Drosophila melanogaster: one gene and its partners. The protein of the gene in region 1 interacts with the protein of each later gene in a pairwise test. Each region holds a gene or a part of one and is shown in the gene's direction. Other genes may lie near its edges.

Region 1 (8,061 bases):
GCTTCGCATATGCTGGGCGGTGACGGTGGCGATGGCGCTTGCAGAGGGCTCTTTGATTTTTCTGTTTCCGACTTTTCCTCTGGCTGAGCCTCTTGAAGCGGCTCCTGTTCCTTCTTCTGCTGCTTCTCCTGCTGGGCAATCGCAGTGTTGACCTTGTTCCACAGGTTGCTGATGACAGCGTTATCCTTGCCAGCAGCTGCCGTTCGCTTCGCAATCTTCTCGATGAAACTCTCGGTTTCCGGAGCAGGATCCACTGTAGTTTCTACAATATTTTGCTTTTGCTGCGATCCGCTTTCGCTGCGCGAGTGCGAGATAAGACGCGGTCGTATCTGCGGTCGCTCTGAGGGCAATTCTGGCAGAGTAGCAGACACCGCCAGACCCTGGCTCACCAGTTCCAGCATTATGCGCCGTGTGATGCCGAACACAAGATGCTTTTTCTCTTCCGTAATGTATGCTTCGTACTGTTTGGCCTTACTTTCATCGTTGCCCACCGGCGCGGGACGACGCAGTTTGGCCCGCATGGATTCTACGGCTTGCGCACCCGGAGGTTGCTGGCATGATCCATCCGGTTTGAAACTGACCAAGTCGTAGACGAAGTCCTTGTTAACCGCTTTAACTCGCTTACGGATGGGACGCTTCTCCTGGGAATGTTCTCCAGATTCGGGTGAGATTTGGGTACGAGACTTGCGACGCTTTTTGCTGGGCGTGGGAGTACCCTCCAGAGGCTCCTGTCCGGGTTCTTCTTTTATCGCGGCTGTTGGAGATTTGGGTTGCACTTCACCTACAGATTCTGTTAGGGTTTTGAGATGCTTCAAGCGTCTTTCGTAGGTTTTGATAGGGGGTTTAGCATCCTTCTCCATCACTGTAAGCTCCTCCTCCTTATCCAGCAAAATTATATCTCCGTCGACATCGTCTCGAGAGTACTCGCACTCGTGGGTGGACACATATTGCTCCGTCAGCTGGTCTCGGTCTCCTTCTATCTTATGAGTAAATCCCAAATGATTTACAATATCGTAGCGCCTAAATGCGCGATATTCACACAGGTTACAGCCAAAACGGCGTGCGCGGTAATGAAACATGGATATGTGACGACGTAGGTTCCCGAGGGCATTGAACTGCTTGTGACAGATCTTACAGCGACATCGCAGCTGCTTCTCAACTGGGACGTTACGTTTCTTCTTGGCCTTACCCTTGACATCTTCTGCATCGGCATTGGATTCAGGTCCGGCCCCTGGTGTTAGCTCGTGCTCGTCGTCGGTGTTAGAGGCTTCGTCACTAGCAGAGTCACTTACATTGCCTAAGTTAAGCTGGTCCAATGACACTGTGTGCAGACCAGGTGCAAATGAGTCGTTCGGCTCTGGTAGATCGGCAAACATCTCATTCAGAGTAATTTCCTCGGTTTTGATCGGTTTTTTTTTCGGCAGGTCTATGGACGTCGTTGGATCCTCATCAGCTGCATCCACACTGGAATCATTGCTCTTCATCTTCAGTTTTTTGACAGAAGGAGCAGGCTTAGCCAGCGCCTCCTGCTTCGCCCGACAATTAAGCAGGTGTGTTGACAAGGCAGCGCGACGCTCGAATGATTTTTCGCAATAGATACACAAAGACATGATCTTACGGTGCTCACCGCTGGCATCTAGTGGCTCAGGGACATAGCCCACCACGTCGTCGGAGAGCTGTAGGCGCTTCAACTCCCGGCAGGGGCCCTTCGGCTGCACATCTCCTTGCTGAATGCGTCGCTTGAGGATAGTGTTCCGCATCATTCGAATACGTCGAGTTGGCTTCCTGAAAAATTAAATTGCAAAAGGACCAACATTAATATTAGTTCACACATTGCATGTATAATTTTTAGAAAAACCACTATCCCTATAAAAATGTATCTGTTATATTTTTATTTATGATTATTAGTTGTTCTGTTTTTATGATTCAGGGCTTAAAAAATTCACATAAATAGAAAGTAAATTAGATTGTTTCCTTGGAAACAATATGATTTTTGACATATACATATATGTATAAGGAATGCAGTATGCAGTAAGCAGATATAAATGGACCATGTGAAAGAAAAAAGGAACCTGTCCCCTTGAAGTAGAATAATATCATATATTTTATAATAATAAAATATAAAAATTCTATGGTCGGGTTAAGTTGAACTTACTTGTGATCCTTCGACAAATGACGAATAACAGCAGCGGCCTGCAGAAAGGTCAGCGAACAGGCTGGGCACTGAAACACAAACGCCGATGATGAGTGATGCTTCTGAATGTGCACCTCAAGCGTTTTGTGCGTCTGAAACGTCAGATTGCCTGTGAACGAGATTAGGAAACACAGCTATCACTAATTGTATTCAAGGCCTATTCGGTTAGGTAGTCGTACAGATCTCGCAGAAAATACTCGGCTCCGTTTCGTCGCTGATGGACTGCTCGCCGGAGTCGCTGCCTGCATTGTTTTCCAGCTTAACGGTTGCCAAGGCCTTGCCGTCGGGTCCCACAATGGTTTCAGATGGATTAAGCATGCGATGCACCTCGTCCAGTTCTGTCCTTATGCTGTCGTCGTGGTCCACTTTGATGGTCTGATAAACAGCCTGGCTAGAGTTGGGCACAGACTCCAGCTGCAGAACAGTGGGCGAGCTGCACTTGGCCTGTGATGTAGCCTTTTCCCGTCGCAGACGCTCTATAACACCACTCAGGTCCCTTATGCCGCCGCCACCTCCTCCTCGTAAGGGACGCACGTCGCGGGGAACAGGCGAGCATCCCGTGCTTCTGCTGCGTAGCATATGTTCAATGTCCTGCGGGGACGGACCACCACCCGTTTGTATGATCATAGTGGAATTCTGATCCTGGGGGAGAATTAACAGCGATTAGTTGACATCCTATGGTATTAGAGACCTTGTAATGGGGTTGTCTTTACTGCCCACTCACTGTGTATCCGCTGCCATTTGCCGAACGAGCGCTGACGCAGCAAAAGACGCGTTTGTGGCTGATGAAATTGGCCAGGCTGCGAAACATGTTGCGGCACACCTTGCACTCGTAGATCAGGCTGCACTCCAGACTGAGCAGCTGGCGCACCTGTGGGAGAATCTGATTGTTATCCGGGGATCCACCAAACTGGGGCGCAGGAGCCTCCGCCATTGCGGGCCACAATTGAGTCACGTACTCCACTCAGATGAGACTCACCTCGCTGGTGCCATCCTCATAGGCCCGACGGGCCTCCTCGAATCCCGTGTGGGCGGTGCGCAGCGGCCGCTGCAGCAGGCTGATGTCGTCACCGTTGTGGTCCATCTGCTCCTCCTTGAAAGTGTCAGAGTTACAACGTGAGCTTCGCTTTCTCATGGCGCTGGTTTGCGCGCTTGCTCCCACTGCTAACCAAAAAATTTGAGACCTGTCCTAGCGCGCTGCCCTACGGAATATTTTCACCGACGTGAGGTTCTTAATCTGTTTCTAATTAGCGATCAAAGTGGTTTTCCAATTCGAATATGGACCTGCATCTTGCATTTTTTGTATTCAGTATGACCGTGCTTGAGCGCTGCTTCTGCTGCGATGCTGATCTGGTATTTTTATTAACCTGTGCGGAATTTTTTGTTTCAACTTAAAAAAAAACGGAAGAGTCGAAAATATTTAATCAGGCAAAACCAATAAGCTGGAACCACATTTGTTTTAATATTCGACTAGAACTAACAATTGAAGTTTGATTTCTCCCTTGCTCAGTGGGCGTAACTTCCATCAATTCTCAAAACCCCCAAACAATATTGTCAATACATAATTTTGGAATTAGCTTATTGTTAAATCTTTAATTGACATGCCAAGCCCTAATAAGTTCAGAAAAAGCGCTAAAAGTTCCTAAATATTACCTGCAAATGTAATTTATTCAAATAGAAAAACGTTTATTTTGGCGTTCAGCACATGGTCACACTGATGACTTGAAAAAAACATAGTGACCGGAATTAGGCTCATCATATTAGTTTCACCTTTTTTATTAAATCAAAACAGACACGATGAGCTGTCCAGGATTTGGAGAACTAAATATACCCTCGTCGCGTGCCTTCTGGGACGACTGCGACGAGGATGAATTGGAGAACCTTAAGCCGGTGGAGAAGTGCGTGATCTAATGTTATTTACGTAGGTAGTCCTAATTTCTTGGATTCGCAGGCTGCAGCTGAAGTTTGATGATGATTGCGATGGGGAAGCTGCCCCTGTGGAGAGCGAGATGCTGGTGGTCATTGAGGGCGTCAACGTCACTCACTTCGCCTCTTCTCTGCTGGAAAAGGATGCAAAGCGTGTGTGCGCCATTCCTGCCAATAACTCGACCCTGCACTGGAGTCATTCGTCCAAACAGTTGCTGGCCATAATCAACGAGGACCTGACCAGTAGCGGCGAGGTAGCGGAGCTCCTACTGCCGTACGTGAAGCTTGCCAAGAAAGTGATCACTCTGACGCTTAAGCCAAAGGTCGAGTTCAAAAGCGAGGACATCCAGCTCTACCGGGATCACATTGCCGTTGTCCGCGGCATAGGTGCCAACCAGAAGGATATCACTGAACTAGAGGCTCCCAACTTTATCGCTGGAGTTGCAGCAGGCGGTGAGTGATGAGTGGAAAAGGAGAAGGTTGAATCACCTCACCATCTGTTCACCTTTTTTTGCAGTTGCCAGTTGGCGGGATCAGATGGAATTGCCTGTTACCTCTTTCGTTATTTACACCGACAAGCTGCCCCTCGACGCCACAGCTGCGCAGCCAGTGATCAAGGTACTTAAAGCCGCGGGCGTTGCCTGCAGCTCGAGCTACATCCCTCCGCGGAAGGAGAGCTCTTATTTGTACATGTGAAACTACTTTTGGCTGTGCTCAACTTCCTAGTTTTAATGCTTGTAAAAATGATACGGTTGCGGAATAAAAATCGAACTACTTAAGTACATCAAAAATGCTGAGGTTGTCCTCCCGACTACGTTGCTCCATGTGCGCCTTGGCGATGGCTATGAACTGTGGACGGGAAAGCATTGAATAGGCGGGTACCAGCAACGATGAGGCAAGCATGTGCAGCTCCTTGTGCCCACTGCAGAACATATCGATGCCTAGTTCCAGGGCGCTTCCAAAGTCCGATTCATCAACTGCTATGTTGGCTGCGTTGGCCACCGGCTGCAGCTTCTCCAGAACCGCCTGCTTGGCGGCTCCATTATCGACGTCCTTCCGCTCAAGCATTGCCAGCATCTTCTTGAGTTCGGAATCGCTGACAGCCAGCGGGCGGTATCCCACTTCTGTCTTCTGGTCAAAGGGCACAACAATGCCGGCTCGGTGGAATGTCTTGGCCACAACACGCTTGTTGCGCTCCCGCTGCAGTCGGTCCAGCTGGGCCAGTTCTAGGGAATTGTCACTCAGGTATTTTGCCACCGCCTTTTTGGTCCCCGCCAACTGCCCGCATGAGAACGGAGTGGCCGCAAAATCGTGCTCCAGGTAGTAGAGGAAAGCATCGAAGGCATTTCCAGCGACGAATTGGAACTGGCAGCCTTTCGCAGAGTCGTTGCGGGCTATTAAGAGATTTTCCTTGTCCTGCGGCACATCGCGCCAGTAACCGTAGTGAATCCCAGTGCCTCGGCGCACGAAGATCGTCTGAAATTCTGGTGGATCGTAGTAAAAACGCCAGTGGCGCAGGTAGTCTCCCGGTTCGCCTAGTTTGGCGCCGTGAAATTTACCGGCTAGGAACTCAAAGGGACCCACCAACTGCAGTTGAAATACTTTGTCTAGGTGCTCCAAGCCAGCATCCTTGGGCTTCGCAGGATCAATTTTTAAGCTTCCCACAAACTTCCAAAATTCGTAGAAGTCCGGCGGCATTTCGACAAGGAACTTGTGTCGAATGAACTCGTTGGACTCGCAGAGATTGTCGTACTCCTTCTGCACGGACAGGCGGATGCGCTTCTCCAAGATCTCCATGTAGTTCTTTCCGGATATGTTGCTCATGGCCTCTTTGTGAAGCTCCTCGGTTTCGGCTTCATAACTGCCCTTGGCTGTATCCTTGTTCACCATCTCCGTACTTGAAGCACTCGTATTGGACTTATCCTTGTTCACCGGCTCCGTTTGTTCTTCCTTTTTCTGTTCACCAGACTGCGAGGATGCACTTCTTTTTGGCGCCACTTTTTTGCCTTCTGCGCCGTCCACTTCGTGTTCTTGTTGCTTTTTCGGATGATTGTATTTGGACAAATGTGCGGGATTCTGCTGATAGCACTTATCCCAGTATTTGCAATCTTCTTTTGGCATTCTTAAGTAACAACAATACCGATTTCAAACAAATTTGCAAAATGTGAGGTTTGCTATGGCACAATTAACAAGAATAACAAGCATCCAGTGACGCCGTTAAAAGTTGCAAGGGGATGATTCTGACCCATTTGAGAAAAATACTTTACCATGACAGCTGGGTAATAGAAAATACTACACTATATACTACAGCCCAGACATTTCCCCTTGGTGAAAAGCTAATAAACTTTTCATAAACTTGTATACTTTTATTGGACACTTAAATTCAATTTTAGTCATTTTTTTAGATCTACGCCCATGTTGACTTCCCTGGATAAGAAGAAGCACTCTGCACACACCCCCAAAAGTGTTGTAAAATACCGCCGGAAATCACCAGTGACTGGCAAAAACTGCACTGAATTGCATGGAGATTTAATGGGGGGATTCATTTAATAATTGTAGTTCATTCAATGAATACAAACTTCACGAAGAGAATCGAAATGTTGATGGTTAGGGGTTAGTACAATTACAGTTGCGTGTGGATAGGCGCTTCAAGGGGGAAACACTATTCTAAGCACCTATGGAACAGGATTAATCCTCGACAGCACACATGACGGAGTAGACGCACTCTTCCTTGTTAATCAAGTGGCAGGTCTTGTTGACCAGGGACATCAGCTGGTTGACGTCGGTGGCCCAGTTGTTCAGGATGTCGGAGGCGCTCTTTTTTTGGGTGAAGTAAATGATGCCGGCGGGACGGTCGATCTTTACGCGGATGGTGTCGGTGTTGGCCAGTTTAGAAAGATACTCCTCGCAGCGGCTGGTGGGCAGGTTCAGCAGCTCACTCATGCGCGCCAAATGCAGGCGGGAGTAATACATGGCAATGATGCGAATGTTCTATGAAATAACCAGTAGCAATTAGTTATTATTAGTATTGATTTAAATCAAAAAAAACCTACATGCTCTATCAGACGATCCTTAAGCTCGGTGATACATTTCTTGCCATGCTTGGTGCTATCCTTGAACATCTCGTTTTCAGCCAACACGAGCCCAAAGTCTGCATTAAATGTGTCGAAGTTGATCAGCTCCTTTGACATGAACAAGCGCAGAATTTCCCTTTTAAATCGAAAATAAAATAACATGCTCGAAATGTACTTCAAATCAAATGTACTTACTTATAGGCGGGCACTTCCTCCAGCTTCTTGTTCTTCGAAAGATGTGCCATCATGTCGCTCTGTTCGTTGTCGAAGGGAGCTAAAACGCAATAAAGCACGGCACAAACCAGCTTTTCCGTCAGTTCCTTCTTCTGCTCCTCGGTAAGTTCAATTTCGACCTCAGCCTCTGTAGCAACCTCTGGCTTCTTATCCTTGTCATCTTCCTCCTTCTTTTTCTTATCGTCATCCTTCTTTTTTTGCTCATCCGTGGACGCGGCAGAGTCTACGGGTGTAAGGCCAGTCTTCTTGCGCGGAGGCTCCGCTATGGCCTGATAATGGCGCGAAGTATTCAGGAAGGAGGTGTCTCTGTTCAACTGAATCATTAGATAGTAGAACTTCAGCTTCAGATCATGCTGTGCCGGATCGTCAAAGAACTTTATACTGATCTTCTTGGCAATGATCTGCGTGGATACGTAATCCTCCTTCAACAGACAAAGGCGCATCTGCTCCAGGATGAGCTCCACCTTCTCGCGCTTATCCATCGAGCCATAAGTCTCCACTTGAAGCTCCTCCATGACAGTGGCAGCTCCGGCGACATCGCCATCGGCTTCCTTAATGTCCGCCAGAATCTTAGTAAGACGGGCCCGCTCGATCTCAACGTAAATCTTGCCCTCGGTAACCGAGCGAAGTGTG
Region 2 (3,252 bases), about 12 Mb from region 1:
TATCTGCGGGTCCTTCACATCCCTGGCCAGCGTATCGAGCACATATTGTGTTCGCTTTCGCATGAAAATGTGCTGCGCCTGGGCGATGATCTGTTCGAGTATGGTCTGTGACTTGGTCATGTCCAACAACGTTTCCCGATCGGCGGCCATCGGACCGGCTAGCATGCGCTTCTTAGTGGGTCCCAGTGGTGCACTGGCCGGATGGGGAAAGGGATGGTGTGAGTTCTTGTAGTGCACCTCGCGCAGAAGCTGATGCAGCGAGTGTTCCAGAACATGATCATGATCGTTAATTGGCGCCGGCTGGCTGGAATCGAAGGTGGTTGAGTGGCACAACGAGATAATAAGTTGAATGTTAGGCAGCAGAGTGGCGCGAATTTGGTTGCCGATGACCACATGTGGAATTGGTGCCTGCAATTGGATAGCTTCACGTGCCAACTGAGCGAATAGCTCCTTGCAGAAGAGCACATTCTGGGCGAACTCCAGTGTCTTCTGCCAGACACCCACCTGGGCAGTTATATTGGGTCCGTGACCCATCAGATTCAGCTGAGCGGTGCACAAATCCTCCTGATCCTTCTGTGTGATCACCTTTATGTAGGCGACACCCTGCAGTTCCGCTGGAACAATCACTCGCAATGCGGAGCTGGCCTTAAGTTGCATGCCATTGTTGCCGGATACGCTACTGCTACTGTTGGATGAGCTGGCTGTGTCCTCATCACCGGTCTCTTCTGCTTTGGTCACCTCGAAGGTACCGCTCATGCCAAACTTGGAGCCCGCGGTGCGGTAGCTGAGATCCCCGATAATCGCATTGGACACCTTCTTCAGGCGCCAGTTCTGTCGCAGGCGCAGTAGTTCTATGTGGAAATCTGAGACATTGCGATTGCGCTGCTCGCTGTGCGCGTTCCGCAGGCGTTCAGCGCCACTTAGGAGCACTTGGGCTGCCTGAGAGATGGCTTTCTTGCGGCTGTACACCTGCACAATGGGCTTGGTGTCGTCAGCCTCCTCGAGCAGTGGATCGAGCACTAAATAGCGCTTGTCCTTGGCAATGGAGATCACATCGGACAGCACACATATCTCCGTGAGCGCATCCTTCAGCTTGTTGCGCACCGCATCCCAGGGCCACAGGCTCTCTTGGAACTGAGTGGCGTCCTTGTCCTCGTCGGCGGCCGCTGCCGCCGACTTCTCCTCCTTCTTGAGGTCGTCCAGCGACGTCTTGCTGAAGTCTATGCGCGCCGCACATTTCGCCAGACTTTCCGACAAAGTCGGCGGCCTAAGGAGAAAAAAACAAAGAACCCAATAAATCATTGAGAAGAGGGCTTGCTGGCTAGCGGAAACACATACGGCTGATACAATTCGGTGCCATCGTAGCCAATCTCACGTATCTGGTTCTCGCAAGTCGTTTCCACTGATATATTCACGGAATTCGACATATTTGCGCCGGGAAACAAAACATTTGGTTTGTCAAAGCAAAACTAAAGAATAGTGCTGCAAAACGTCTGCGGCCGGCTATCGATAAATGAGTGCTCAAAAACAACACTTTTTTCCAGGTTAGTAACGAATGTAATGTATAAAATATTGATATTTAAAAATGTTTAATATTTAATTAATATGTGTTATAAAATTACTTTCTTGCTTTAAATTAAGTTTTATTTATTTAAGACAAAACTTTGAAATTTAATGGCTTGGCCACGTGCTTATATTCATTTATATGCGAAGTATAAGTAGGCAGCAGTCAAAAAAATGTCCTTAAATGTAAATAAAATTTGTTTACCTTAAACAACGAAGTTATCTCTTTTGATTTTTGAACCGCACTTTTATTAAGCTCCTTGCCAGAGTTGCCACCCAGTGTCAATTGGTAAACACACCAACACTGGAATCATTACTTTCATATTTTTGACTTGACTTGAATTAGCATCTTCAACTCATTCCGGACACCAAGAGATTTAACCCAATTATGCTGTTTCTAAAGGACAAGCGTACCACTCTGGACGTAGCAGAGCACACAGTAATCATACCGAGCATTTGCGTGGGAAACGCGGCGCAGCTGGCCTGTGACCTGTTGATTGCGTCCAAGGAACTCCGGCGAATTGGATCCATCACACATCCAGCCCTGATTCCGGTCTACGGACCCTCCGCCTATCAGCACGAGCCCAAAGAGAAGGTCTCCTCCTGCGAACTGTACGAGGGTACGGAGGATAAGCTACTGGTCGTGCAATTCCGGGCGCCATGGGTTGCCCGCCACACCGCGCATTTTCAGAAGGAACTAGTGGAGCTCCTCAAGGGCGCCAGACGCGTAGTCATTCTAAGCGGCAGTTTCGGCTTCGAGAAACGAGTCATTGAGGAGTCGCCATGGGCATACCGCGCCAGCGAAAACTTCAAGGAAGCGCATGCTGCCCAGCTGGGCAATGAGGAGCTGATCAAGTGGAAGGAGCACAAGGGCGATGCCATCTATGGCGGCGGCAATGCCTTGCAGTTGTTTAAAGCCTTCGATGAGCAGAAGGTGCCCGTCATGCTGTTATTCCGCTATCTCCTCGAGGGCGACAACTCCACCGATGCATCTCTAATCGTCCGGGAACTGAACGAACTCTGCGAAGACTTCCTTCAGCTGCGCAACGGAGGCGATGGCAGTTTTAAGCTCACCGTGCCCAAGTCCTGGAACCTACTATTCGGCAATGATGTTACGGAACTTCTTTTTTAAGCGTCTACATGTATTTTTCGGTGCTTTCAAATAAATGTTAATCTTTTGGTGTAGGATAAAAGATATTGCTAGCTGTGTGCTCCCGAAAGAACTCTCTGCCATGCTCCTGGTGGTCCTGACGCGTGGTCAGCGTCTGACCGAAGGTGGGCTCTCCTGCGTGCACACATGCTCCCAGCCAGGCGCTTAAAGTTGGCTCATCCGACTCGTAGATGGCGAACTTTGATTGAAACGGTCGCATTTCCATGAGCTCCTTGATTAGTCGCTCCTTGAGACCCTTGAATTGGGCACAACCGCCGGTTAGGTACACGTGCTCAACCAGGCGCTGCTGCTCAGCGGCGGGAAATAGCTTCAGCACGAATGCTATTAGTTCTGCTAGCCCCGCCTCTGAGCAACCAATCATGCTGGGCTGGAATAGAACCTCCGGCACGCGAATGTTCTCAACCCCAAAGTGCAGCTGGTAGTTCTCGGCGGCACTCTGTGGCGGAACATTGGAGTTGCCATCGGTGTTGGCATCATAGTGATTTAGGATCTTATCGAACTGCATCAACTTTTCGTTA
Region 3 (8,906 bases), on another chromosome or scaffold:
TTGTTCAGTGTATACAAGGCCACTGGCACAACAAACGCAATTAAATGCAATTCTCTGCACATTCTTTGTAACCGAGTGCTCAGTACTAGCCACATTAATGGAATATTTCCTTGGAATGCCCAAGTCATTTAAATTTCAGCAATAACTACCAATTCAAAAGAGTACTTTACTTACTTAGGAAGCATATAGTAACATTCAAATAACATATCTTAATGGATTCAATATTTACATACACATAAGATTTATTTACATCACAGCGGTATCAGATAGTCCGCACATTTGGCCCCATTTTATATATCGCTTTGTTTTGCGAACTCCGTTTAAACTTTTTCCTATGTATTCCTTACTCAATTTCCCATTTTCCATTTTCTCTGCCCACTCCGTTGCGTTTCGCCGTTTATTTTCCGAGCTCAGAACAATTGAAAATCGTTTTCGCCCACATCGCACTGGCCGACAAGGGCAATTGGAGCTGCGAAGCTGCTGATGGAAGTCTGCATAGTAAATCCTTCGATTTGATTGTGTACCGTAAGTGGTGGAGTCGCTGGCGGGCATGAGGTCAGTCATTAATATTGCATTGTTTTCCCTCCTCGCACACACACACACACACACACACACACGCACGCACAGAGAAAATTACATTCACGGAAAATGCCACCGTGATGACGGTCAAGGAGGGCGAGAAGGCCACCATCCTGTGCGAGGTGAAGGGCGAGCCCCAGCCGAATGTCACCTGGCACTTCAATGGACAGCCCATCAGTGCCGGCGGTAAGAATACCATCCCCCCACCTCCCTCGATAATGAGCATTTTGCATTCCAATCTGCTCCACCACCATCACCATCAGCCAACTGGCAAATGCCGAACCCGACTGCCACTACATATCTGCCCTTTTCCACCTTCTCCATTCCGCGTGTGCAGCGGCCGACGACTCCAAGTTCCGCATCCTGGCCGATGGTTTGCTCATCAACAAGGTAACACAGAATGACACCGGCGAGTACGCGTGCCGGGCATACCAAGTCAACTCGATTGCTTCCGATATGCAGGAGCGCACCGTTTTGATGAAAATCGAACGTGAGTATGATTTACGATTTCCAAAACGTAGAAAACTGATCCACAGTGGGAACCTACTTTGAAATTTGGGTTGCCAAGTCGTGATTATTTAAAAAAAAGCCCTTCCATTTTACTAGTGTGTACAATTTCCTTGAATAATACATTGTAAATTATATCAAACTTAAAGTTGAGCATAACATTTTTGATCCTACCAAGTCCCAGTGTGCAAAGTGGTGGGGTAAACAGTCGAAATTACTTGAGCACCGTTTTGTTCCAAATTTCGAGTTGGCGCTTAGTATGCAGCGCAGTGAGCGGTAAATAGTTTTTGAGCACGAAAAATTCTGGAATTACACTCGCGGCATGCCTTTGATGCTTTTGATGGATCCCAATGTCGACCGGTGTTCCTGATGTGTGGCCAGTGGGCGTACGAGTGCCAGTGCGAGTGGGCGTGGCGCACATGCAGCTAATGGCTTAACTTGGCCGGGTCCTGATTTATGGTTAGCGCACATGGTTTTTCCATTTCCATGGCCTACCTTTAAGCGCTGCCGCGGTTTCAGCTGTCTCCTGCGGCGCTATGCATGCTCATTTCGATTTTAGGCACTTTTAATTGCCTTAAAATGGGAGATAGAACAGAAATCTTCATCAATTTTTTTTTGCTTAAATATTTCGAAACAGTCCCTATTCCTTTTTAAATACTTTAGTTTTTTTTATATCATCCTTGATATTTTCCCCTGTGCAGACAAGCCCATTTGGTCCAAGACTCCATTTGTTAGTCTAAAGTACGCCTACATAAACGGAACTGCGACTCTTATGTGCGAGGCACTGGCGGAACCTCCAGCGAATTTTACATGGTATCGCAAACACAACAAGCTGCACAGCAACAACAGACTGTACACGATCCAGTCGGACAGCTACTGGTCGAGTCTGACCATCCATGTGCTGAACACCAGCGCCTTCGATAACTACAGGTGTCGCGCCAGGAACGATCTGGGCACCATCGAGAGGACCACGCGACTGGAGCAGGGCGAGAAGCCTCCGTCACCGGCCAACTTCCAGCTGCGTGGCTTCAATTCAAACACCTTCGATGTGGTACTGAGTGCTCCACGAGGTCCTCCCGACAGTCCCATGGGGGTCAATGGATTCCGCATCGAGTACATGACCGAAATGGAGTTCAAGACGGATGCGGGCAAGTGGACCAATGCCAGGCGGAAGGATTATGCTTTCGAGGAGGGTGAGTTAAGCTTTAAAATATAGATAAAAGCTATCTCTTGCTACATTCGATATGTAAACTCATGGATTCTATAAATTTTAGGGGCTACCTTCCTTCTGACGAACTTAGAGCCAGATACCGTTTACCTGGTGCGGGCCGCATCACGGAATCTGGCCGGATTCAGTGACTTCACCAAGGTGGAGAAGTACAAGACACTTTCGCTGGAGCCCCGAGTCTCTTCGGGAGTCAAGGAGACCAGAAATATGTGCGTGGAACTGGGTGTGATGACACTAATGGTCCTGATGCGGCCGTTCCTGGGATGAATCTGAATCTGCAGGCGGATGAAGGATGACAGGTGATGCACCTAGCGGAACCGGAAACCAGGACCTTAAACCCCATGTGCTTTGTATAGCTATAAGGCGTGTCCACACGGCGACACTTTTCTGTCTGATTTGCTCGGTCTAAGTAATTTGGTTTACTCTTAAGTTCAGTGCGTTAATGTAACCTTAAAGAATGTTAAGTTTAGTAAGAATTTCTATTACGCTTTCAGTGCTTCGATTTGAATGATATTAGTGGATCACTTATAGGATATTTATATGTATTTAAACAAATCCTCATAGCAGTTAGACATAATCAATGGTTTGCTGGCCTTGGCTCCCCAAAATTATGCAAAACTAAAGCTTTGCTCAACATTCCAGTATATATTTTAACGTGAATTGGAAGTTTTCCCTGCAACTTTGCATCTCGTTGCCAAATCTTTAAGATATAATCAGACAGTTGCCAAAACTAAAAAAGTACATTAGTTTAGTATATACAAACAAATGCCTTCCGTCATTCGATATAACTAACAATCTTTTCAACTAAACTACATAAATATATAAAGTTTTGGAATACCATTAAACGCATCAAACAATTAATATAAATATCAAGGAGCTTAACGACAGCATTTAAAAGTTTTATATGTCACATAATTCTTTTTAATAGTCAAAGGCCAATAAAAACAATTCCACGTGTAAATTTCCAGGGCTAAAAAATACAGAATAAAATATAGATGTAAAAATAAGTTTAAACACTTTGCCACAATACAAATATTATGCAAACGAGAGAAAAACAAACACATATTTTACAAAAGTTATTTATATTCAATAAAATTAAATGTATTTCAGCTAAAGTGGTGTAAAATCTAAACCATAATACCTAGCCAAAGATTTAATATTTTCCAACTTTCGTTTGCCAATTGTGTGTGAGCCATAATAAAAGTTATGAATATCAAACCAGAACCGTTTGTGCTTCGATTTATTGATGTATAAATCAGTAAGTAAATAGAATATAAATATTTTAGTAAAAAAAATGCCTATTAGTTGGCGTAGCTTTTAGTGTTAATTTCTAATATTCGGCTCAAAAATTATATACAAAAAGTACAAAGCATAAAAATGTTGCAAGATGGAAAAACGAGCTCATTATTTTAGTCAGAACTCGAACCAGCCGCTAAATGCAGACTTTAATTTAGAAGATCAAATTATGAGGAATTCACAAAAAATATATAGGTTTAGCTCAGATCCGGGTGAGTAAAGCTTGCTAATAATGAATACATAAAATTAAAATTTTTATTTAGAATACAATAGAGTATATCAGCGGTATATGGCAACCCTCATCCGTGTGCAAAATTCCATGCATAGAAGATTTCAATCCAGGACCACTCTAAAATTGCAGGGCTCACATAGCCGCCTCTCAGCTGGCGGATTCTGTACGAAATTCAATAAATCCGGAAAGGAGAAAAAAAATAAACACAACCAAAGCCACGACCAGCAAAATGATACCTGTAAGCCTTCTTGCTCGAAGCCAACTGATTGCGCCACAAATGATGAACCTTCCTGCCGGGGCAATAAAAGTGCATCCGATAAAAGCCTGAAAATCACCCGCTGTTCCATACCGGAACCCAATAAGTCCCCACGCAGCGATGGACACGAGAACCAGCGTCAGAGCTGTGTGTCCTTTGAAGAGCCCGCGGCCAAGGATATTCCCACATTTGATCTGCACTTCCGGGACACCTCATGTACGGTGTCCCATGATTCCAGCCTGTCCTCCATCAACGTTTGCTATAGCCAAGAGCAACAGAGGGATATTACAAAATCTTGTCCCGCTCAAACGCCGAAAGAGCCAGCCCCTCAACGGATGAAGGAGTCGTCCAGGAATCAAACAGCTTCACGATTTTGCATGAGACCGTTGATTGTGGTGCCCACAGGTGGAGGAATTAAACAATTAAAGAAGGATCAATCTGAGAATTCCAAAATAGTTAGCACAGATCACTCCAAGTCGAAGTCTGCACACCACACGAATAGTTCTCGAAAATCCACAAAGAAGCAAGCAAAGAGTCACCGCCTTATTAAGTCTCACAGCTCTAAAGATTCTTTAGCAAATCGTGGTCAGCCTACAGTGGAAATTGAAGAAACTTTTCCAAATTCAATCTGCACTTCCGATACCCACGAATCCTGTGACTGCAAGAGCGAAGACCAATTTTGCTGTTACTATATACCAGAGGAGCCCCATTGCTCGCAGAATCCACCGCCATGTTCCAACTGCCCGGCTATATGCGACTTATCCAACCAATTGGAGGAGATGAATCGACGTTTGGAGGGCCTTCACAGCCAGGAACTCTGCGATATCCGCACGCAGGTGAATAGCCTCAATGCCAATGTTCAGCATTTGGCCAAAGAGTGCATTCAGAAAATGGATGGCGCCAAAAGGCTGGACAAGAAGACCTCGAGCACCTGTCAGTTCTGTCATGGGCAGTGTTTGAAAATACTTGATAGCTTCTATAGGCAACTGCTGGACTCACTTTGGGATCGTTCCCTGACAGACATAGTAATATCCATATTTCTGCGAGCAGACAATGTCTATCACGTAAATGTGCGGGATCTGAGCTCGGACTGTTCCCTTGGTTGTTACCTGGTCACTGATGCGGCCATAGAGGAGGCCATCGAGTTGGGAGTTTTTCAGAACATACTCACATTTAGTGTAATTGATGTGCGGAATACCATCAAGTCGAAGAACTGCGACTTGGGCATCGTCTTTGAATACCATCATTCAAAGCGGCAGACCGGTGGTTGCGATTCTCCACTTCGTGGCTCCTGCATGGTGGGCAAGGAATATATCGGCAGGGTTCTCGGACTTCCTTTGGAGCAGCTGAAATACCTGTACTCCGTTCCGCGATCCTATACCAAAATCACTGAGCACGACACTAGGAGTGTAACTGGAAGTCAGTTACACTCAGTTTCCACTCAAACGACTTTGATGGATATGCAGACAGAAATGAAGATAAGATATAAGAAAAGTGCCCGTACAAAACTACCATCAGTTTGAAAGATATCAGTTTTAATAATATATAGCAAAAGTTATAGTTAAGCCAACTTACAACGTATTTCTAAAATTTTGTAATAAAAGACCTTATAATTTTAAAAGCCAGCATAGATCAAAGGAAATTCTGATTAGTTTCAATAAAGCTAACCGTACAGGTTGCACTGCCATTTGCACAACCGACGGACCGCATGGCAAATGGTTCATTTGTTCAACGGGCGCGGTTTGTCAATCAGCCACATCAACTGGGGCTCAACTAAGGACCCGCATATGCGCTTTTGGCCGGAATGCCTTTTTGGGGGGGCTTTTTGGGGCAAGGAATAGGAGCACTGCGTTGACAGCCGCATAAATCAGTTGAATGCCAAACGTCGGATTCGGATGCAGATGCGGATGCTGTTGCGTATGCGGATATGCATTGCGACTGGGCGCCATATTGTGCGTGGTGACTTTTATTGCCCGACCGCGCGTTAAATATTTTTCTGTCTACACACATGGACATGGATGCTCCGCTCATCATTGACATTTACCATTGGCCATCGTCATTCGCATCACAATGAGCAGCAATGAGCGTGGCCGTTATTTGGGTGCGGTTCAAAACAATCAGCCCGGCTATTTAATTTCCAAATGAGAGGAGCATTATTCGGCACAGCATGAGTTCAAATCACTTGCCCCATGTGCCCGCCAGCTTTCAATATCAACACTTTAAGTCAACGATTTGAGCGACGACAGCTGAATCAGCAGCGAAGAGAAGAGGACAAATAAATACTGCGAAAAAAAATGCAGAATTCGGCCATTTTAGGCCTGCAACCGCCAATCCGCCAATTCACCAATCCACCGGCAAGTGGGTCAGTTTCGCACGGGCTTTTAGAGCAAATCAACGCGAAATCCGCTCCAGGTCATATGCCACCCGACTCGATGGGGGGGGGGCGAGACCATTCGTGCAATGCAATTTCCATGTCAGCGAAGAGTTTTACCCCTTTTTTTTTCGCCCACATATCTGTTTCCTTTCATTCGGCTTATCGAAAGTTTAGCATTCGGCATTTTTCACTGCAGGCATGAGAGTCAGGCTTTCAATTAAAATCCAAAGCTGTATTTTTACGGGAGCAGATTTAAAATGTTGTGGCTATTGGCCAAACGTTATTTGTCTGTTTATTCACATCACATGTCTTAAGCTGACAATATAAATCCCTTTTCTTACCAAGTAATCAGCATTAACTAAGGAACACACAGCCGTTGGCGATACGAAGTCTTAACAACATTTACCTAGCCATAAATACACACTTAACACGTTTTGTAGACGAGCTGACTTGCATCATTAGGAATTCCATCAGTGCTTCATTATTATCCCCCTTTCCTTTGCCACCAACACAATGTTCCACATTTTCTCCACTTGGTTTTCCTGCGATTTTCCGCTCGTTTGAAGCTGCTTGGCCACGGGGCGGATGCGGATGTCGGTGCGGATATGGGTGCGGATGTGAATGCTTTTGCAACGACCGCACGCCGTGTCAATAAATGAGCGCAAAGCATTAAATTGTAATTTTTTAATTACACACAAAAGATTTAATGACTGCGGTGGTAATAACACACAACAGACGTTGCCACGCCCCCCGGCTGCCCTTGTTACAGCCCTTAATTACATAAAGCCCAGCTAAGAAGACGACTATCCACAGACGGAGATAATAGGAAAATGGCGAAAATTAAATTGTTCTTCTGTGCTCGCCAAGTGGCCAATTAAAGCGAACGGCAAAGAGCAAAATGTCCGGATTTCTTTGCCTCGCCAAGCTGAAGCAACTGGACCTCCAGGGGGTTATGTCCTTTTTCGCACAGATCCTTTTTGCTCCGAGATTTGCGCCCGAGTAGCTGTCTCAGCCTCCACCCCCGCGCCGTTTGCTTAGCAATAAAAATCATTTCCCGCGTTCTAATGATGCCACTGAACAACCAAGGCGGCCAACTAAATTAGCGCCGTCGGCCTTTCAACAGTCGAGAGATACATATATAAATATATACGAGTATATCTGGACATACAGCGCTTCGCTTCGGTTGGAGTCGTAAATAAAAGTTGGTCCACAAACCAACCAACTAATATGCCAGAGTTTGGCGGGGCCACAAATCTTGTGCAAAGTAAATGCATCGGTACTGTTGCCCCCCCTTTTTACACCCCTTTGCCCATTTTCTGCTGGTTTCACTTGCTGTTGCTGAATGTTTTCGTGTGTTTGCTGTTTGTTGCCAACACACTAATTACCGCAATTAATTATGCTGCCTGCGGAGCCAAGTCCGTCCAGCAAAAAGGACCAGCAAAACAGGACCAGCAGCCGGATCAGGATTTGGACCAGGAAAAAAAGGGGAGAGAGCAAAACCAGTACAATTCCCCAATTGTTGGCCCACTTTTTGGCTGCAACTTTAACCCGTGTTTCGGCCTTTTCGTGTGCGGTTTCTAAGCGGTTTTAGCCTTTGTCTCAAAGCGCATATCAAATGATATTGGCCAAATTCACAGGGAATCGCAGAGGAGCAATTTAAATCGTTTAGCCAAACGATAATGATAGCATGTGTTGCTTGTGTTTCAGTAAAAAGCAATTAAACGTTAACAGCTTATTATATTAAAGCCCTTTATGGCAATCTACTTCAGGCGAGTGAGTGAGGTTTAAATAAACATGTTAAATTGTTTCAAAAAGAGGCTGAGGCTGCTACCATGTCTAAATAGGCTTGGTTCCAGCTTAAAATCTATGAAATTTAATAGATGGTTAAATTCTAGTAACTGCAGGGTGTTTTCAAACTATCAGGTACTGAAATAAAACGTCCATTTGCTGAATGCCGAATCACCGAGCGACCATTAAGCAAATCAAAAAATGTCACACAGAAACAATTTCGCAGTGCTCGAGCAAATGGCAAAACATGTTTGAAAATTGAAAATTATGTTTGAAATGCACTCAGCAACAGATGGAGTCTCATAGGTTGGATGAATAAGGATTCGCAGGAGTTGGCAGGACGAGCAGAAGGAGCTGCAGAAACTCCACATTTGTGCCACGTTTGTTTCTGTCAACGCAATGAAGTGCAACATTTTGTATACTGCACACATACTGCGTGTTTTTCTGTGTGTGTTTGTGTGTGTGCCAGTTGGTTTATGCGAATGTTGTGGCAGCACACACACTAAACTATACATATTACAATGTTACATACATAAGCAAGCAAGCAAGCACCTTTGGCAGCAAACTGAAGCCAGCCACTTCATATTGTAAATTTGGTAGAAAATATTTTTAGTGTCGCCAGGATTTCCTGTTTCCATCGTTGTCC
Region 4 (3,414 bases), on another chromosome or scaffold:
ATGCTTTAAACTAACCAAATTATTCATAACAAAAACTTTTTTCTGAAATATGGTGGTATAGATTAGTCTAAATGGCTTTTAAACAATTTTGAATTGAAATGCGTCATTTGGTAACGCCTAAAAATCGCTCAACTGAAGCCGCATAATAATAATTGATAATTATTTTTATTCGTTCTTTGTATGGCCCAAAGTAACAGGAAAAATAAATTATGTTCCATTAAAAAGGGGCAAACGCTGAAACACATAATTAGAAATAGCTCATTTAGTTCTCCCCTCCTTTCACTGCTAATTGCCATTGCGAGTAAAAGGGCTTGCCACTTTAAATTAAAGTTTAAATGTCACTGAACTAAAAAGCTCCCTCTGGCCAACTTTTTCCCGCACAGATGTGCGTTTTCCTGCTCGCTGTATATCCTGTGGAAATGGAATCGACTCCCCAACGACGACTGCCATCAACTGCAGCAGTTTAATTGCAAATTGCAGGGAAGTCGCCTGGTCGAGCAATTACAAAATGCTAGAGTGGGCCGGCGGAATTAAATCAAATCTCTAAGAGGACATGATAACTGAGGGGCAAACCTGTTTAAGCATACCTCTACACCTAGAGAAATAGTAAAATAACGAGCTTTTATTGTAAAATGTTAATAATCTTAGGCCTTAACGAAAAAGGTGTAGTTAAAACCTTTTATGAAATACAGTAATATAACAAATTGAACAAAACTTAAGATGCCTTAATCGCAATTGTAGTTTCCATAAAAAGTTCGATCGATGAATTTCCCTCAGTGCACGCATGTTTTCCAATTTTGCTCGGGCATAAAGACATTTTCATGGGACAGCTTGTTGCACCCACGGCAGGAAAGCGACACTGAAAATGCATTTTCCAAGAGCGGTACTCATCATGCCCCGCCCATCGTCCTCCGGTGATGCATATAAGTCGTAACTATCCCCACTCCCACCTGAGGCACCTGGATCACCTGCACCATCATCGTCTTCATCATCGGACTTGTCTGTAGCACTTGTGCTGCGTTTCTATTTCTATTTCCATCCTCACCGGCATCCTTTCCATCCTTTAGCAACTTCCGCAAGGGTGACGCTCAGCATGGTGTGATTATGCACTAAGAAAAAATTGTCCAACATTTCAAGATCTGAGAAAATATGCATGTTTTCCTATAGTATATAGGATTGAATGAATGAGGACAATCAAAAACTTTTATAATAAACCATCTCAAAATCTCAAAATAAGTTTTTGTATTTCCTTCCTCATTTTTTCCAGTGCATGTCGTGGTGTAGGGGTTTTTTGTGGGAGATGGTGAGTGACTTCCCTTCCGCTTGCGTAGGTGTTTCGCTCGTGGCCATCTTTTGGCCTCAGTTTACCATTTTTCTTCATCTTTTGTGAGCGCTGATGAATTCGTTAGACGCCACCCCCCCCCCCCCTTTTATCCACAACCCACCACCACCCACATTTCCCAACCCCCAATGCCAACCCGCCCATGGTCGCACCTTTGGGGCAATCGTGCGCAGGTTGTAAACAACAGGCGGGGTAAAAGAATGGAAACAAAAACCGCAATAAGTGAACATTTCAGTGCCGCATCCTTGACGTCAGTGGCAGCAGGAAACTGCGGGAAAATCAGGGAAAAGCTGGAGAAAAGCATCAGGAGATGAAGCCGCCAGAAGCCGCAGGAATGCAAACCGATGACATACCGGAAGGAAAGCCACAGGAATCCATTGGTTTTGTAAGATTTCCATTCCGGAGGTTGAGCGAAAATGTTTATGAGAATCAAAAGCAAACAATTAAAATTCAAGGAATCATCGTTTGATGTTTAAATGTTTCGAAAAGCATTAAATGTCATTTGCTACGCTCTAACAAAATAAAATGGCCTGGTTAACTAAAATAATCATTATATTTATCCTTTTGCTACACACTCAATTGACTCAACTGATACAGTATATTGACGATGGTGACACATTTGATGGCTTTAACTCCATATTTGAAAAGCCAAAGAAGCAACGAAGCGGTGCCATGGAGGACGATTTCGATCGAGATCGGGATCAGTGGAAGGTCAATACCGACATGGACTCGCAATCGGGCATATGTCCCGCCGAAAATCCGAATGATGTGAAGTATGAAAAGAAGGATCGCTGCAAGGTTGACAGGAAGATGGTCAAGGACGAGGACGATGACGAGAATGCCGATCCTGCGGGCAATAGTGATGACGATGATATCCATGATGGTGATGAAGACAATGGCGATGATGAGGCTTATGAAGAGGAGGACGACGACATTAGTTTTGAGGATGAAGCTTTTGTTTCGAGAATTAACTGTTTGTTGGGATCTCTGCACAAGCACACCAAAGCCATAACCGATAATCTGCAGATCCTTCAATCCCGCTTGTCAAAAGCGAAAAATGACAACATATGCAGAAACAACAACCAAGGCACTACGCCTACGGAACATCCTAGTCTGAAATGGTCCAAGAAGCCGGATTTCTATGAGGCAACCGAGCTGTGTGCTGATGACAACTGCCATTTCGAGGACAGTGTGGATAACAAAGAGGTCCAGCCACAAGCTTTTACTGAGGATCGTCGAGTGATGGTTCCGCCTCTATTGCAACTCTTCCATGGTCCTGTCCAGCTGCAAACCACTTTGAACAGCGGCCAGGACATCACGGGATCAAAGTCGAGATATTGGATGACCTCACCGGAAACATCAGAGGAGTTTCAGGCTTCATCGCAATTACAGCCGGATGAAAAAAATCAAGAACGATACGAGGATTACGATGCTAAATTGCGTCGCCTCATGGACAGTCGGGATGAGATCGAGCGAAATGTGATGAGAATGATAACTCCGGATTTATAAAATAAATATTGTATGAATATTAATACTTAAAGAGACCCTACAATAAAGAATAAAACCATTTGTATGTACTCTTGCTTTAAATATGTTCACAACTTTTAAAAAATATATTAATACTATATGAAATGTGTAATCCAAGTACGCCAGCCCTTCTTCTGCCAAATGTTTCAGCCGCTTTTACTCATTCCGACTATAGTCAGCACTCCGACAACTTATCGAAAATGACTTCCGTCGCTTTACTGGTGATAATCTACATTTCCATTGTGATTTTCGGGCGCTGTCAAGTGGACGGACGACGTCCACCAAAGAAACCGACCTTCTACGACTACGATGATGAATCGGACATGTTTGAAAAGATGACGGACCAGGACTATGAGGTCCAGTCGAACTGTCGCAAAGGCCAAGATGTGGACGCCATGGACGAGGTACTGGACACCAGTGACTTGGATTTGAACCCAGATTACCGCATGGGCAAGAATATGGCACGTTCACAGCGCAAGTCGCACCACAAGTTTCCCGATTCGTGGGCCATGTTGGTCAAGGAGGGAAAGGAGGAAATGCAGCTG

What was found.
Region 2: the proteins of PSMG1 (region 1) and CG12321 interact in a two-hybrid assay, tested with the Drosophila melanogaster proteins (one large-scale study listed by BioGRID).
Region 3: the proteins of PSMG1 (region 1) and CG15631 interact in a two-hybrid assay, tested with the Drosophila melanogaster proteins (one large-scale study listed by BioGRID).
Region 4: the proteins of PSMG1 (region 1) and CG43996 interact in a two-hybrid assay, tested with the Drosophila melanogaster proteins (one large-scale study listed by BioGRID).

The regions. Positions count from the first base shown.
Region 1 is NT_033777.3:5,790,153-5,798,213, reverse strand, and holds PSMG1 (proteasome assembly chaperone 1), read left to right. Parts: upstream 1-3,896; 5' UTR 3,897-3,991; coding exon 3,992-4,092; intron 4,093-4,145; coding exon 4,146-4,573; intron 4,574-4,637; coding exon 4,638-4,816; 3' UTR 4,817-4,891; downstream 4,892-8,061. Other genes in the region: CG10979 (uncharacterized protein), read right to left, coding at 1-1,785, 2,156-2,303, 2,374-2,836, 2,919-3,065, 3,174-3,329; Hpf1 (histone PARylation factor 1), read right to left, coding at 4,892-6,241; Rpn5 (regulatory particle non-ATPase 5), read right to left, coding at 6,809-7,111, 7,174-7,330, 7,390-8,061.
Region 2 is NT_033777.3:18,187,305-18,190,556, reverse strand, and holds CG12321 (uncharacterized protein), read left to right. Parts: upstream 1-1,849; 5' UTR 1,850-1,951; coding exon 1,952-2,695; 3' UTR 2,696-2,732; downstream 2,733-3,252. Other genes in the region: MED17 (mediator complex subunit 17), read right to left, coding at 1-1,267, 1,339-1,427; Arp5 (Actin-related protein 5), read right to left, coding at 2,733-3,252.
Region 3 is NT_033779.5:4,729,222-4,738,127, reverse strand, and holds CG15631 (uncharacterized protein), read left to right. Parts: upstream 1-3,669; 5' UTR 3,670-3,701; coding exon 3,702-3,822; intron 3,823-3,873; coding exon 3,874-5,621; 3' UTR 5,622-5,715; downstream 5,716-8,906. Other genes in the region: fipi (factor of interpulse interval), read left to right, coding at 415-525, 628-765, 917-1,069, 1,788-2,279, 2,361-2,581.
Region 4 is NC_004354.4:17,020,457-17,023,870, forward strand, and holds CG43996 (uncharacterized protein), read left to right. Parts: upstream 1-1,847; 5' UTR 1,848-1,867; coding exon 1,868-2,851; 3' UTR 2,852-2,914; downstream 2,915-3,414. Other genes in the region: CG43997 (uncharacterized protein), read left to right, coding at 3,070-3,414.